Xenopus tropicalis: one gene and its partners. The protein of the gene in region 1 binds, or shares a complex with, the protein of each later gene. Links are inferred from orthologs where the notes say so. Each region holds a gene or a part of one and is shown in the gene's direction. Other genes may lie near its edges.

What was found.
Region 2: arpc1b (region 1) and arpc5 share a complex: the UniProt entries of both Homo sapiens proteins name them as parts of the arp2/3 complex. The link is inferred for Xenopus tropicalis from reciprocal best matches to the Homo sapiens genes ARPC1B and ARPC5.
Region 3: the proteins of arpc1b (region 1) and arpc5l are in contact, whole or in part, in a cryo-EM structure (PDB 6YW6), measured with the Homo sapiens proteins. The link is inferred for Xenopus tropicalis from reciprocal best matches to the Homo sapiens genes ARPC1B and ARPC5L. Residues at the interface, in NP_005711.1 of Homo sapiens: Arg118, Lys138, Arg142, Phe164, Ser201, Gly203, Trp204, His222, Asp223, Ser224, Thr225, Leu240, Ala241, Ser242, Glu243, Thr244, Leu245, Pro246, Phe281; in NP_112240.1 of Homo sapiens: Asn21, Lys22, Arg102, Gly139, Leu140, Gly141, Ile144, Arg145, Thr148, Arg150, Lys151.

What each region holds. Positions count from the first base shown.
Region 1 is NC_030685.2:41,828,852-41,832,574, forward strand, and holds part of arpc1b (actin-related protein 2/3 complex subunit 1B), read left to right. Parts: intron 1-998; coding exon 999-1,221; intron 1,222-2,761; coding exon 2,762-2,869; intron 2,870-3,723. UniProt on the Homo sapiens protein: Component of the Arp2/3 complex, a multiprotein complex that mediates actin polymerization upon stimulation by nucleation-promoting factor (NPF).
Region 2 is NC_030680.2:99,902,858-99,907,275, forward strand, and holds the start of arpc5 (actin-related protein 2/3 complex subunit 5), read left to right. Parts: upstream 1-1,612; 5' UTR 1,613-1,639; coding exon 1,640-1,779; intron 1,780-2,908; coding exon 2,909-2,981; intron 2,982-3,351; coding exon 3,352-3,528; intron 3,529-4,418. UniProt on the Homo sapiens protein: Component of the Arp2/3 complex, a multiprotein complex that mediates actin polymerization upon stimulation by nucleation-promoting factor (NPF).
Region 3 is NC_030684.2:28,257,846-28,262,110, reverse strand, and holds the start of arpc5l (actin-related protein 2/3 complex subunit 5-like protein), read left to right. Parts: upstream 1-1,246; 5' UTR 1,247-1,580; coding exon 1,581-1,726; intron 1,727-4,265. UniProt on the Homo sapiens protein: May function as component of the Arp2/3 complex which is involved in regulation of actin polymerization and together with an activating nucleation-promoting factor (NPF) mediates the formation of branched actin networks.

The sequences.
Region 1 (3,723 bases):
TTGATAACAGTGTCCACAAAATGGTACCTGCCTGCTTGCTGCAATTGTGAATTCCAAGGCTGAAGAAAATAAGATTAAAATAATTTATATAGTGTAAGTAAAGTTTATTTTGCTTGACAAACACAATAGAAATCAATTTGGAATTATTTCTTAAGGTGACAGGTCCCCTTTAAAGCTTCCACAATGGTAAGCCATCAAAGCAGCCAGACAGGTGGGGGACCACAGAGAGGGGGGTCTCGGCCCACGGCCACTAGTTGGACAGCCCTGCCTTAGATGATATAATTGGTGAATATTACACTTTTAATAATTCTATTTTTAATATTGCACTTTTAAGAATTTATACTGTATGGTAACTATGTTATTACACTATTGTGTAATATTCAATATTTTTTTAATTAAGCACTTATTTTATGATGTAACAATTTATAATTATTTATGATGATATAATATGCACTGTTGATGGTCAGAGATTGGCCCATTTGAATTTGCACATTCACAAGAAAATTGGATAATTGCATAATGGTCTGTTGATATAAGAGTGTATTTAAGGTTGGTTTGAACACTATTGTTTTATCCTTGAGAAAGGTCCTATTGAGGACCGAAACGTTGGATTCTTTTAAACAATATGTCTACAATAAACTTATGATGTTTTTAAAGGGTGTGCCGGTCACAGAATATTTATTGCTGAATACTCAAAATTTGGCTGTTCACCCTGCAAAGTTATAAAGACTGAAATATATGTATATAAATAAACATGCAAAATACAAAACGCTGAATCTAAATAAAATATATGACCGATATTTACAAAGATAATAACAAATATGGGTCCACCAAATTCATTTGAATGGAAGGGAGTAAAAGCGCTGATTTACATACAAAGCAGTCAATAACCAATACAAGATGCAAAGAGCGCCCTGCCCATATAATAATAATGTGATATAATATGTATGGTTTAAAAAGCTATCAAACTTGACATTTTTATTTTTCCCTGGTCCAAGGTATTGACTGGGCTCCTGACAGCAATCGCATTGTAACCTGTGGTACGGATCGTAATGCCTATGTGTGGACTCTAAGAAACAATGTGTGGAAACCGACACTGGTCATTCTCAGGATTAACCGTGCTGCACGTTGTGTAAAGTGGTCACCTAAGGAGAACAAGTTTGCAGTGGGCAGTGGATCCAGGCTAATTTCCATCTGCTACTTCGAGCAGGAAAATGATTGGTAACTGTAGAAAAATATAGAGTAACTAGATTTATTTAAAAGTAAGCTTTATCTTAGGTGCATTTTTCAGGACAATTGTTCAGGCAAGGGCATTTTACCTTTGCATTTTACCCGTTACCTTTTTTAACAGCCCAAATGTGGCTTCTATTGTTCCCCCTTTGAGACTAACGTGCAAGCTTGCATGCATTTTCAGCTCATTATTATAGGTGCTTGTGGAAGGGATTATGGCCATCCGTATTTTATGCGTGTGAAAAGCGTAGTAGAGTTGAGGTAAAAACATTTTTATGCCATGTATCCTTAAGGTGACCATACATGGGCATATTTAAGCTGCCAATTCTCAAGTCATTCAGACCAATTTGGTAGCATACCTGCTCGTGTCTGGAGATTCTTAATGGGCTTTCCCGACCAATATCAGGGCAAAAATTGGTCAATTTGTCAATCAGGCATCGCTGTCGGATCGGGGACCGCATTGGCTCATTCATTCAGCCCTTTCTTCAATAGCTCCTATATCTATCATTTTAATTTGATTGTTTGGCCCTAGGGCCAAATGATCGAGTTAGCCTGATATCGCCATATTGGGAGAAAGATTTGTTAGTTGGCGAGATCAGCAAATGAGCAGATCTTTCCCCTATATGCCCACCTAAAGTGGGAGATATCAGGCTAATTTGATCATTTGGCCTTAGATAGGAGGAAGGAGTGGTTGGCGTGAGGACCACATCACTGAGCCAATGTGGTCTGACTAAAAAAATCTGACTAAAAAAATGAAACCTGTTGGATTGACACCTGTGATTTTCACACAGATATGAGTCAGGTAGGGCCATCGGGGGTCCCCTTAGGTAAGCTGCCGAAAGGACATTTATTATACAGATTTTTATCTCTGGGTGACAGGTACCAACTACTACTTACCTGAAGAAGCCACGGCATGAGCAGTGAAACAGTTTCAGGAGTACTCCATTCAGTTGTTTAAGGGCAATGACACATGGGGAGATTTGTTGCCCCCGTAAAAAAATAGTGGGTAACAAATCTCTCCTAAAATGCCTTGCCCTTTACTAACCTTGCAATCGACACAATATATTATGCTTACTTACAATTCGGCTTTAAGAGCAGAGAAATGCCTGCTTTTGCATTTTCCTATGATTAAGAGCCGAATCGCGGTGAGTAATGTAATTTACTTACAGCGATTCCAATGTTAGCATAGGATAAGGCTTTTTAGGGAGATTTGTCACCTGTGGTAGGGTTTTTTTTTTTCTTTTTTTAAACACGGGTAACATATCTCCCTGTGTGTCATTGTCCTTAGACTTCTCTCCAATAGATTCTACCTTATGTATCTGCCAGTACAAAGAGTTTAGGGAGAGCATTCCACATCTTATCCAATCTCACTGTAAAACCATTTAGCACCTAAATTAAAAAATGAATCCTCTGTTTTTATAATCTCAGTGGATGCCGCTGTATCTTCTTGATGATCTACTGATGAATAAAGTAATTTAGTCTATTGTCCTCTTGCATATTTATTAATACAGTTTTTATTGTTTCAATGTAGGTGGGTGTGTAAGCACATCAAGAAACCAATACGCTCAACGGTCCTGAGTCTGGATTGGCATCCAAACAATGTTCTTCTGGCAGCTGGGTCCAGTGATTTTAAGAGCAGGTATGACTGTGCTGAAGCACCTATGCAAAATTAAAATATACTCTAGGGTTGATTCCCTATAAAGAAGGAAGTTTTGGATACAAAGAATCAGAAGCTGATTTGAAGCCAAGGGAAGATGCTTGTTGATGTATAGAGATGCAAATTCTTGATTGTTTAGACAGCGTAATAATCAGAAGCTGGGTACACAAAAAAAAACATTCCCATAAAATAGGAATACATTTCTGCCATATCTAGTATGTCCAGATGCTAGAGAAAAAGTTTCAATATCTGATTATTCTTAGGCTAATGCCCCATGGAGAGGTTAATTGCCCTCAATAAATCAAAGATGATCAGCAATCATTACATACTCTATTGGCTTGCTTGCATGTTAAATAATGATGTACCCTATTGCACAATGTTGAAGAATATGTTGGTGCTTTGTAAATAAATGTAGTAAAATGTAGTAGTAATAATTGTAAACAAGGGAAAATGCAGACCTGAAATTCTTACTATGGTTATATAGTTTTATCCTTATAGTACCCCTGCTGCTCTAGAAAGAAAAAAAAAATGTGCATACACGTTGGTCACAAGTGCTTGGGGAAATGTCCTTGAAATGGGCAGCATTTCATTTGAAAAAATAGTAACATTAGGTTTATTTAAAAAAACAAAAACAAAAACAAAATGCAGTTAGTGGTTTGCTTGAACATGTTAAAGGAGAAGGAAAGGCTAAGCCAAAATTTTAGGCATCCCCAAGTGACTTTAATTGCTTACCTTTTACCCCAGGCTGGTGCCCCTGTTAGGAGAAAACCGCACTAGCCCAGGGTAGCTGCAGCGAGCGGTTCCCCCTCCGTGTTCATGCATGAGAGTGAAAAGCC
Region 2 (4,418 bases), on another chromosome or scaffold:
CTTGTCAAAATACTTATGCAACTCCAATCTCTAATGTCCGTGTGCAAATTTGAGAACAATCAATAAAATGCAATATCTATGAACAAAATTTCTGTTTATTTCAGTTATCCTGGATTCACTGAATCCCTGTTGCAAACCAAACAACTGAAATAACATAGAAATTGCATATGTGACAAATTTACAATTGTCCAAATGACGCTTTTTTTATTGCCACCCTACATAGAAATGAGTTTTTATGTCATAAAGTTGAAGTAGCAACATTTTGCCTGTACATGAGTTTGACATTATGAACACCACCAAAGTGTTGCTTATGATGAGAAAAAAACTCACATTGACTGATTTTAAACGGTACTCCAAATCCATGAAAATGGTGTCTAGAATGACAATTTACTGTGTATAAAATCACCATATTAACCAAATGCAGAAAGACTTTTAGAATCTGTCTTTTTAACAACAAAAAAAGAAGAAAGTGTGCCTAGTAAAGCCTGTCAGGCAATGGAAGGGCATAGTTGCTCCTGTGTTCCCATTCTTATTACTGTTTGACGCTATATTGAGGTTTTATGTCACCTGTGAGAACTGGGCAGGAAACTTTTTTGCCTTCCTCTGGATCAGCTACCAGTTAGGCAGGTTATATATAGGCATTATGGTTGAACTTGATGGACATATGTCTTTTTTCAACCTAACTTACTATGTTACTTGTTAGGGGTCCACAACCCGGGGGGCAATAATTGTCTGCCACAGGATATTCTTTTTTTTTTTAATTCTATATTTACACGTCTTTCGTAAGGGCTGTGACAGACGGGGAGATTAGTCGCCATGCGACAAATCTACCTTGGTGCAGGCGACTAATCTTCCCAAAATGCCATCCCACCGGCTAGAATGTAAATCGCCAGTGGGATGCCATACGCGGCGCTGAAATCGACAAAGTTTCCTCTCGAGGCAACAGCCCCAAGGAATGGAGGAGGCTCAGAAGGAAAAGGGGGAGGGGGTAGAACAAGCAAAAACTATTTTATATTAAACACTAACATTATAACAAGATCTGACAACAAGCCATTGCTATAGTACCATTACATAAACTATTGGAACATTGAATTAAGGGGATGACAACCACAGGATATTATATAAAACATGCTATTGGAAATACACATATTCCATCAGCATATGCAGCAACACAGACTTCCACAAAATGCACTCAATACACTTACAATACCTAACTTTATTTATTTAGTCTGGATTTATATAAACACCCGTCCTGCACTGCGTGAAACCCACAAAACGGTGAGGACTTTGCCAGAAAATCCTTTTTTTCTGTACAAAAGCAGTCCAGCAAGCCATGCCACAGTTTTTTTTACCATGCAACAGGTCAGGTCACTGGAAAACACCAAACTGATTATCCCCTGACACCTCCACCGCCCAGGTAAATGTACTACCCACGGGCCCAGCCTGAGTGTCCCGCCTGGGTAAAGCCCACAGAATAGACTGAACGCTTTGATACTGCCTTAATCCCGGCAGAGGTAACCACACCAGCAAAACTAGCGCTCTGACAGTCTCCGGAAGCCGAGAATAAAAGCGGAAGCCGCTGCGCCTGCGCATTGAGTACGACCGCTCCCTGCCAGCAGCACAGAGTCTCCGGTTCGGGATGGCGAAGAATACGGTGTCTGCACGCTTCCGGAAAGTAGATGTGGATGAATATGATGAGAACAAATTCGTTGACGAAGAGGAGGCGGGAGAAGGACAGCAAGGACCCGACGAGGGGGAGGTTGATAGCGCGATTCGGGGATATCCTTGTATGTTGTCTGTGCTGGCAGGGCCTGGCATTGTACCTTTGTATGAACAGACATGCTCCTAATCGCCTGACATATGGGCTGTACCGTGTCATAGTGCTAACATGCTGAAGGTGTGCGGTGTCACATGGAGAGGGCTGACTGCCACTGTTTCCACTATTCCTGTCATGCTTTGTACTCATCTTCATCTTGCAAAGCCTATACTTCCCCCTACACCCTTCTCTTTGTTTGATCTCCAAGCTAAGGTTTCAGGAATATCTACTAGAATAAACTGGCATAGTCCTGATATGGTAGCCTAATAAGCTTTCAAACTGGAGTCAATACACATTTGCTTTTGTCTATGCACCTTGTCATTTGCTATGTGTGGATATGCAGAAGCTGTGCATACCAACTCCAGTTTGCACACTGACTCCATATTACATACCTAAAGGATCTATGGCAAGCAAAATACTTGCAAACCGTATATAGAGGCTCTGCTGTGTAGGAAATGTCAGTAGTTAATCTCCTTTTCCTACAAAGAGGAACTTGCTGTGAGGCTGTGGGAGTGTCAGTCACTTTATCCTGTGCATTTTGTTTCTTTTTCTCTGTCTATCTAAACAAAAACACTTTCTTTCTCACTCTCTCTCTGTTTGAAATCACATACATTTACATGCTTTCTTATCGGTGTTTCCAAGGGTGGATAATACAATAGTGGACTTTGAGCCAAGTTACACACAGGTTGAGCACACAGTTAAACACACCTTGATGGTTCTGTAGCAGTTATTGGTCGTTGTGGTGTTATAGTACAAGCTATATGTTTTTGTGAGGCAAGCTTGGTCTTGCTTCAGGTTTAGGAATGCAGGAAGTGGCTCAGTCTCAGTCATCAGGAAGCATGGGAACTTCTGCTTGGTTGGCTTTTTTTACACTTTTGTCCCAGATCTATATTTTTTTCATTAGTTTTAACACATTTTCAATTCAGACCATATTTCCATATATATGCACAGTAGGCTTTTTCAGATTTATGCTAATATTAGGCCAGGGCCATATAGGGATCTGTGAATATAAAGCATCAACTGAAATTGTTCTGTAATTATTGTATGGCATTTCTTTTGTGTCAGTACGTTATTCCCTTAACAGCTTGCTACAGGAAACATGATGGGAGCTCTGCAAGCTGCTCTAAAGAACCCACCAATTAATACCAAGAATCAGTCTGCCAAGGTAATATGCTTCTAGTAAAATACAACAGGAAACAAATTGTTATTCATTTGCTTATTATTTGCTGAAGGATAAATAAGGTAGTTATAAAGTGGCGTATTGGGTACAGAATATACATCAGTCAGTGCTTACTTCCTCTTTGCTTTTTGTTCCTCCTGCCAATAGTTTTATTGCCACACTATTTTATAAATTATATTCATATCTTACTTTCAGCCAAACTTATTTTGCTGCACTTAATGCATTCTGTACCAATAATCAGCCACTACTCAGTTGGTCATACCAGCAAGTTTTCCAATACAGTTTTACAATTTTCTAACTCTTTATTTTAAATTTTGGAGTATGGACATTGACTTTATCATTGCTTTTTACTTAGGATCGAGCTGAGCACCTGGTGCTGAAAGTTCTAATCTCCTTTAAAGCTAATGACATAGAAAAGGCTGTTCAATCTTTAGACAAAAATAACATGGACCTCTTAATGAAATACATCTACAAGGGCTTTGAGAGTCCGTCTGACAACAGCAGTGCTGTCTTGTTGCAGTGGCATGAGAAGGTGAGCAAAGTACTATGGAGCTGACAAACACATCAGGCATGCAGAGTAGGCACCTCTATTAGGTCATCATAGTCGGAGAGAGAGAAAGGGGGACTCATAAAGCAAAAGGGGCGGGGCTTCACACTAGACAAGGAAGCCGGTAAAAGAGATGCAGCTCATCTGCTTGTAATAGAGAGACAAAGTAATTCTGGATGCAGGGAAAAAAGGTATGTTATTCTGGGGGCTAAACAGAGTAATTTTAGAGTAAATTTAGATTAAAAAAAAAAAAAAAAAGGTTTACTTATTCTTTAAAGGCATACAGTGCCTTCCCATATAAGTAGATACCTTTTAATGCTGATCCCTCTTCTAAAAATGTTTCAGACCCTGTAGGTCTCCCCTAGCAGCAGTTGTTAGGGACAAAATTATCCATGAAATCTGATTCTATATTTTTGAGTGGTAGCAGTAACTGAGCAGTTTTGGAACACTGTTAACAGCACACTTCATGCCCTCCCAAAACTTGTTCAGTGAGGGAGCATGTACACAAGGATTTAACTCCTAGGGGCAAATTTACTAATTTGTAATGATCTGTATTTTGAGATTTTTTTTGTCGCCGTCGCGACTTTTCCGTCGCGAAAAAATCGTACTCTCGTGCCGAGTACGAAAGCGCTCAATACGAAAAAGTTGCGACAACTCGCGAAAGTCGTAACGGCTACGAAAAAGTTGCAACAATTTGCGACAATTCACGAAAAAATCGCAAAATGTTCGTTTCCAATCCGATTTTTCGAGTTTCTTCTTTATGGCAAAACTAAAATATGGCTTTAACAAAATAGTTGGACAAACCCAAGCAGGGTCTGTCCAGATTGACAAAATGTTGTCACTGAATCTAGAGGGACAGGAATAAATGATAGCAC
Region 3 (4,265 bases), on another chromosome or scaffold:
CAGGTAAATTAACAGGAAAGTACAAACCTAGTAATGACCAAATCATGGTATTTTTTTGGCGCTGTCATTTACTGCCATTCTGATATAGTGGATAGTCCAATTGCCAATGCCATATCACCCTTGAAAAAATGATTTATATAATATTGCCAACAATCTGACCTACTAATTCACCACCCACAGGCACTAACTAGCTTCCATGTAAAGATGACCCCTTTGAAACTGGTCTCAAAATCCTGACTATATCACAAACATTGAGAGAAGGCAGGCACTCTGGTAGTTCACGTATCATGTGTTAGCTCAATAAAAGTTTTGTGATTTTACTTTACTTTCTCGTGGACAACCGCTTTTCTTCACTGAACTACCAGAGTGCCTGTCTTCTCTCTGTGTGAGGCAGTCTCCTCAACCTTATTTATTTGTTTGTAGAACCACATGGTGACTCTACCTAAGCTGATCAGAAAACCCTGCACTACACTGATGAGCCCCCAATAAGGGTGAAACCGGTCTGTAGTTGGGAATCTGATCAGCTATTGTCCTGGCTTCAGCTTCAAACCCAGTGGGTGAGCTGTAGCCTATAGGATAAACCCATGTAAATGGGATTTTTTTAAAGAGTCTGGAATTTGTTCCCAGAATTCCTTTTGTTTGCTTTTGTCTGCGTGAGGCAGTCTCCTCAACCTTATTTATTTGTTTGTCTTCTCTCAATGTTTGTGAGATACCCATGATGGCTCCCTCTAGCTGAAGGTCTGGGGCATGAGCACCTGGGCCCATCTATACTATGGGTGAGATTTACGAATTACTTCTGAGCATATGTTTACTTTTTTCTGTATCTTAAAATCCTGACCCTTAATATCCAATTAGCAATTCACTGATGTACCTTCTTTAAGGCTACATATAAATCTGCCTTGTGTGACTACAGCACGCATTTCAATTCCCAAGTAGTGTGGCACAATGTAAGTTTATTTCGTTTAAGGCACCATGCCTCCTCCATACAGTTATTTCTTTTCCGAATGTTGACATCTATGCCCCTAACTACTGTCCCCCAAGCCCCTGGGGTGACGGCCTGAGGAGTTGCTAAGCAACAAGAGGCCGCCATGTTGGCTTCTCGCTTCTCACGCGTTCATGTCAGTGACGCCATTCCGCTTCCGCTACACGCTCCGCCCTGCCGGAGTCACCGGAAGCGGAGGGAGCCGGCTGGACTGGAAGCGAGTGTCCGTGACAGCGGCCAAGCCCCCTTCCCTCTCAGTCGCCACTTCCCTCCCTGGTCACCCCCACCCTGAGTAGCTGCCGTCCGACCTAGCCAGGGAGTAAGCGCCTCAACACCCCCTTTTCATTGGCCTCCGCCCCCTTCCCTCCTCTCTCTCAGCCCCCAATTCCTGTCACACAGCTTCATTGAGAGAATTCATTGAGCCTTACTGTAGCCCCTAGCGATCAGTGGCCGCATTTTTGAAGGGGGTGCGTTTTGCTGTCAGGCTCATTGAGTGTTTGTAGTGGCAGTCGGTTCCTGTCACCTTCCCTGCGCTCACACCCTATCAGGGTGTCACACCCCCTTCCTGTGGGTGCTGCAGCCGGCCGGCTAGCCTAACATGGCCAAGAACACGCTGTCGTCGCGCTTCCGCAAGGTGGACATAGACGAGTACGACGAGAACAAATTTGTTGACGATCAGCTGCAGGAGGAACCGGCCGAGCCTCAGGGGCCCGACGAGGCCGAGGTGGACAGTCTGATCAGGCAATATCCTTTTACTGTATTACTGCACACCTAGGCCATCGCTCATGCTGTAATTACTGGAATGCTTAACCTGCAACCCTCTTGTCAGGGGGGGGGGGGGACTGATAAACAGTTTATTATTTTTTTAATGAAAAATGTTTCTTATGGGTGAAGACACATGTAGCTACTAGTACTTGTCATGGCTACTCAAATAGACAATGCTGATCATTTACTGATACAGGTATCGGACCCCTTATCCGGAAACCCATTATCCATAAAGTTCTGAATTACCAAAAGGCCGTCTCCCATAGACTCCATTGTGATCAAATAATTCACATTTTAAAAAATTATTTCATTTTTCTCTGTAATAATAATACAGTACCTTGTACTTGATCCCAACTAAGATATAATTACCCCTTATTGGGGGCAGAACAGCCCTATTGGGTTTATTTAATGGTTAAATGATTCCCTTTTCTCTGTAATAATAAAACAGTACCTGTACGTGATCCCAACTAAGATATAATTACCCCTTATTGGGGCAGAACAGCCCTATTGGGTTTATTTAATGGTTAAATGATTCCCTTTTCTCTGTAATAATAAAACAGTACCTGTACTTGATCCCAACTAAGATATAATTACCCGTTATTGGGGGCAGAACAGCCCTATTGGGTTTATTTAATGGTTAAATGATTCCCTTTTCTCTGTAATAATAAAACAGTACCTGTACTTGATCCCAACTAAGATACAATTAATTCTTATTAGAGGCAAAACAAGCCTATTGGGTTTATTTAATGTTTAAATAATTTTATTAACATACTTAAGGTATGGAGATCCAAATTACGGAAAGACCCCTTATCTGGAAAACCCCAGGTCATGAGCATTCTGGATAATGGGTCCCATACCTGTAATTGTCTCTATGTGTGCGTTTTAGCAGAGGCAAGTCTCAGTATTGTCTATGGCAGGGTGTTTTCTGGAGTTAAGTAGCCATGAAAAAGTAGCTACTACTAGTAGCTCTGTGTGTCTTCACCCTAAAGCGAGTGGGAGCTAAAAATGTTACGGTGGAGCTAAGTAACTTGCAGCTATGCCCCTGCCTCTAGCAGTTGTTTCTGCACATTTGCCAGTATCACTCTTCGTGCCTCCCTTGTCCTGGGAGTGGTGGGTAACAGCTGGGGGTACGTACATAGTTTAATATGCATTGACTCATCCTTTGCTGATAACAAAGATTCAGTTATAAAAAGCAATGATATGAAAGGCTGTGACAGAACAAGAGGCTGGTCAATCATTGTGAGTGGGAAAGACTGGTAATTGCTGGCCCCATGCAATCCAGTGTTGCAGGTTTATTGATACTTTGCTTACATTCTTTAGCAAACATTATGGCTGTACACATGGTGGTGCTAGTTAGGGGCTGAGCAGTCTGGATGTATGGTTACAACTCCAAGGCTTGTGTTTGTTAGAAGAGAAAAATCCAATCGGCCATTTTAGCTACACCTTGTAGGTATGACTGTAGTTGCGGTATTTATAATTGATTTTAATAAAGGCATGTACTGAATCCTTCATTTTTAGATTCAGCTGAATCCTGCATTAACAATATAGCAGAACGCTGAATCTAAATTGTATTATTACATTTTAACAGAGAAAATCAAATATATCAACCTGGAGGAAAAAAACAGCCCTATTTTAGTTAACTTTTTTAGGTCTCCTTAGTGCTGGCTTAGGTTAGTGATACACAGGGCTGTTTCCCCACCTGCGTAAAAATGGGAACAGGCCAATGCAAGTGGATCCATTCCTTCTTACTAGTGGACTGACCGGCATGTCGGCAGCCTGTGAGCGCAGACAGAAAGTGAATTCCAACAATAAATTCATTATAGGGTGTTGATTGATTCATAAGCCAGAGAAATATACTGCTTAGAATGTCCAAATGCCAGGCCATTGATAGTTTTCTAATGTTACTTATAAAATTTAGGCAAAAGGTACTTCTTTGAAATAAGTTGGTGATGTGGGTTCTCTTAAAGTAACATTAAAAAAAAAAAAATGATGAAGGTATTGAAATATATAACGTACTGCTGCCCTGCACTGGTAAAACTTGTGTGTTTGCTTCACAAACTCTACTACTGTTAAATAAATAAGCTGCTGTGTAGCTATGGGGGTAGGTATTTAGCTTGAAAACAAGAAAAGGCACAGATTGCATATCAGATTTGCTCTGTATCTGTGGCATCTAACCCAGTTTCAACTCGAATGGCAGCCCCCGTGGCTACACAGCTACTTATTTTCAGGCCTGGATTTGTGGGCAAGCCACAAAGGGCCATGCCAAGGGCACCAAGGATCTGGTGGCAGCATGCTGCCCGCTGGCTGCATCTGAACTGGGGACAGGGTGAGAGATTTTGCTAGCTGTTTAAATCTCCCTTGGCCCTCAATGTTTTTCTGCTTCAAAGTTCACATTTTTCATGCAGCACAGCTCTCTGATGTTATACGGTTTGTTAAGATTTGCCCCTGTAAGGCTCATGGCACACAGGATGTATTTTCGCCCGTGGTTTGTCACTCTGGAGAAACACCTAAACCCATC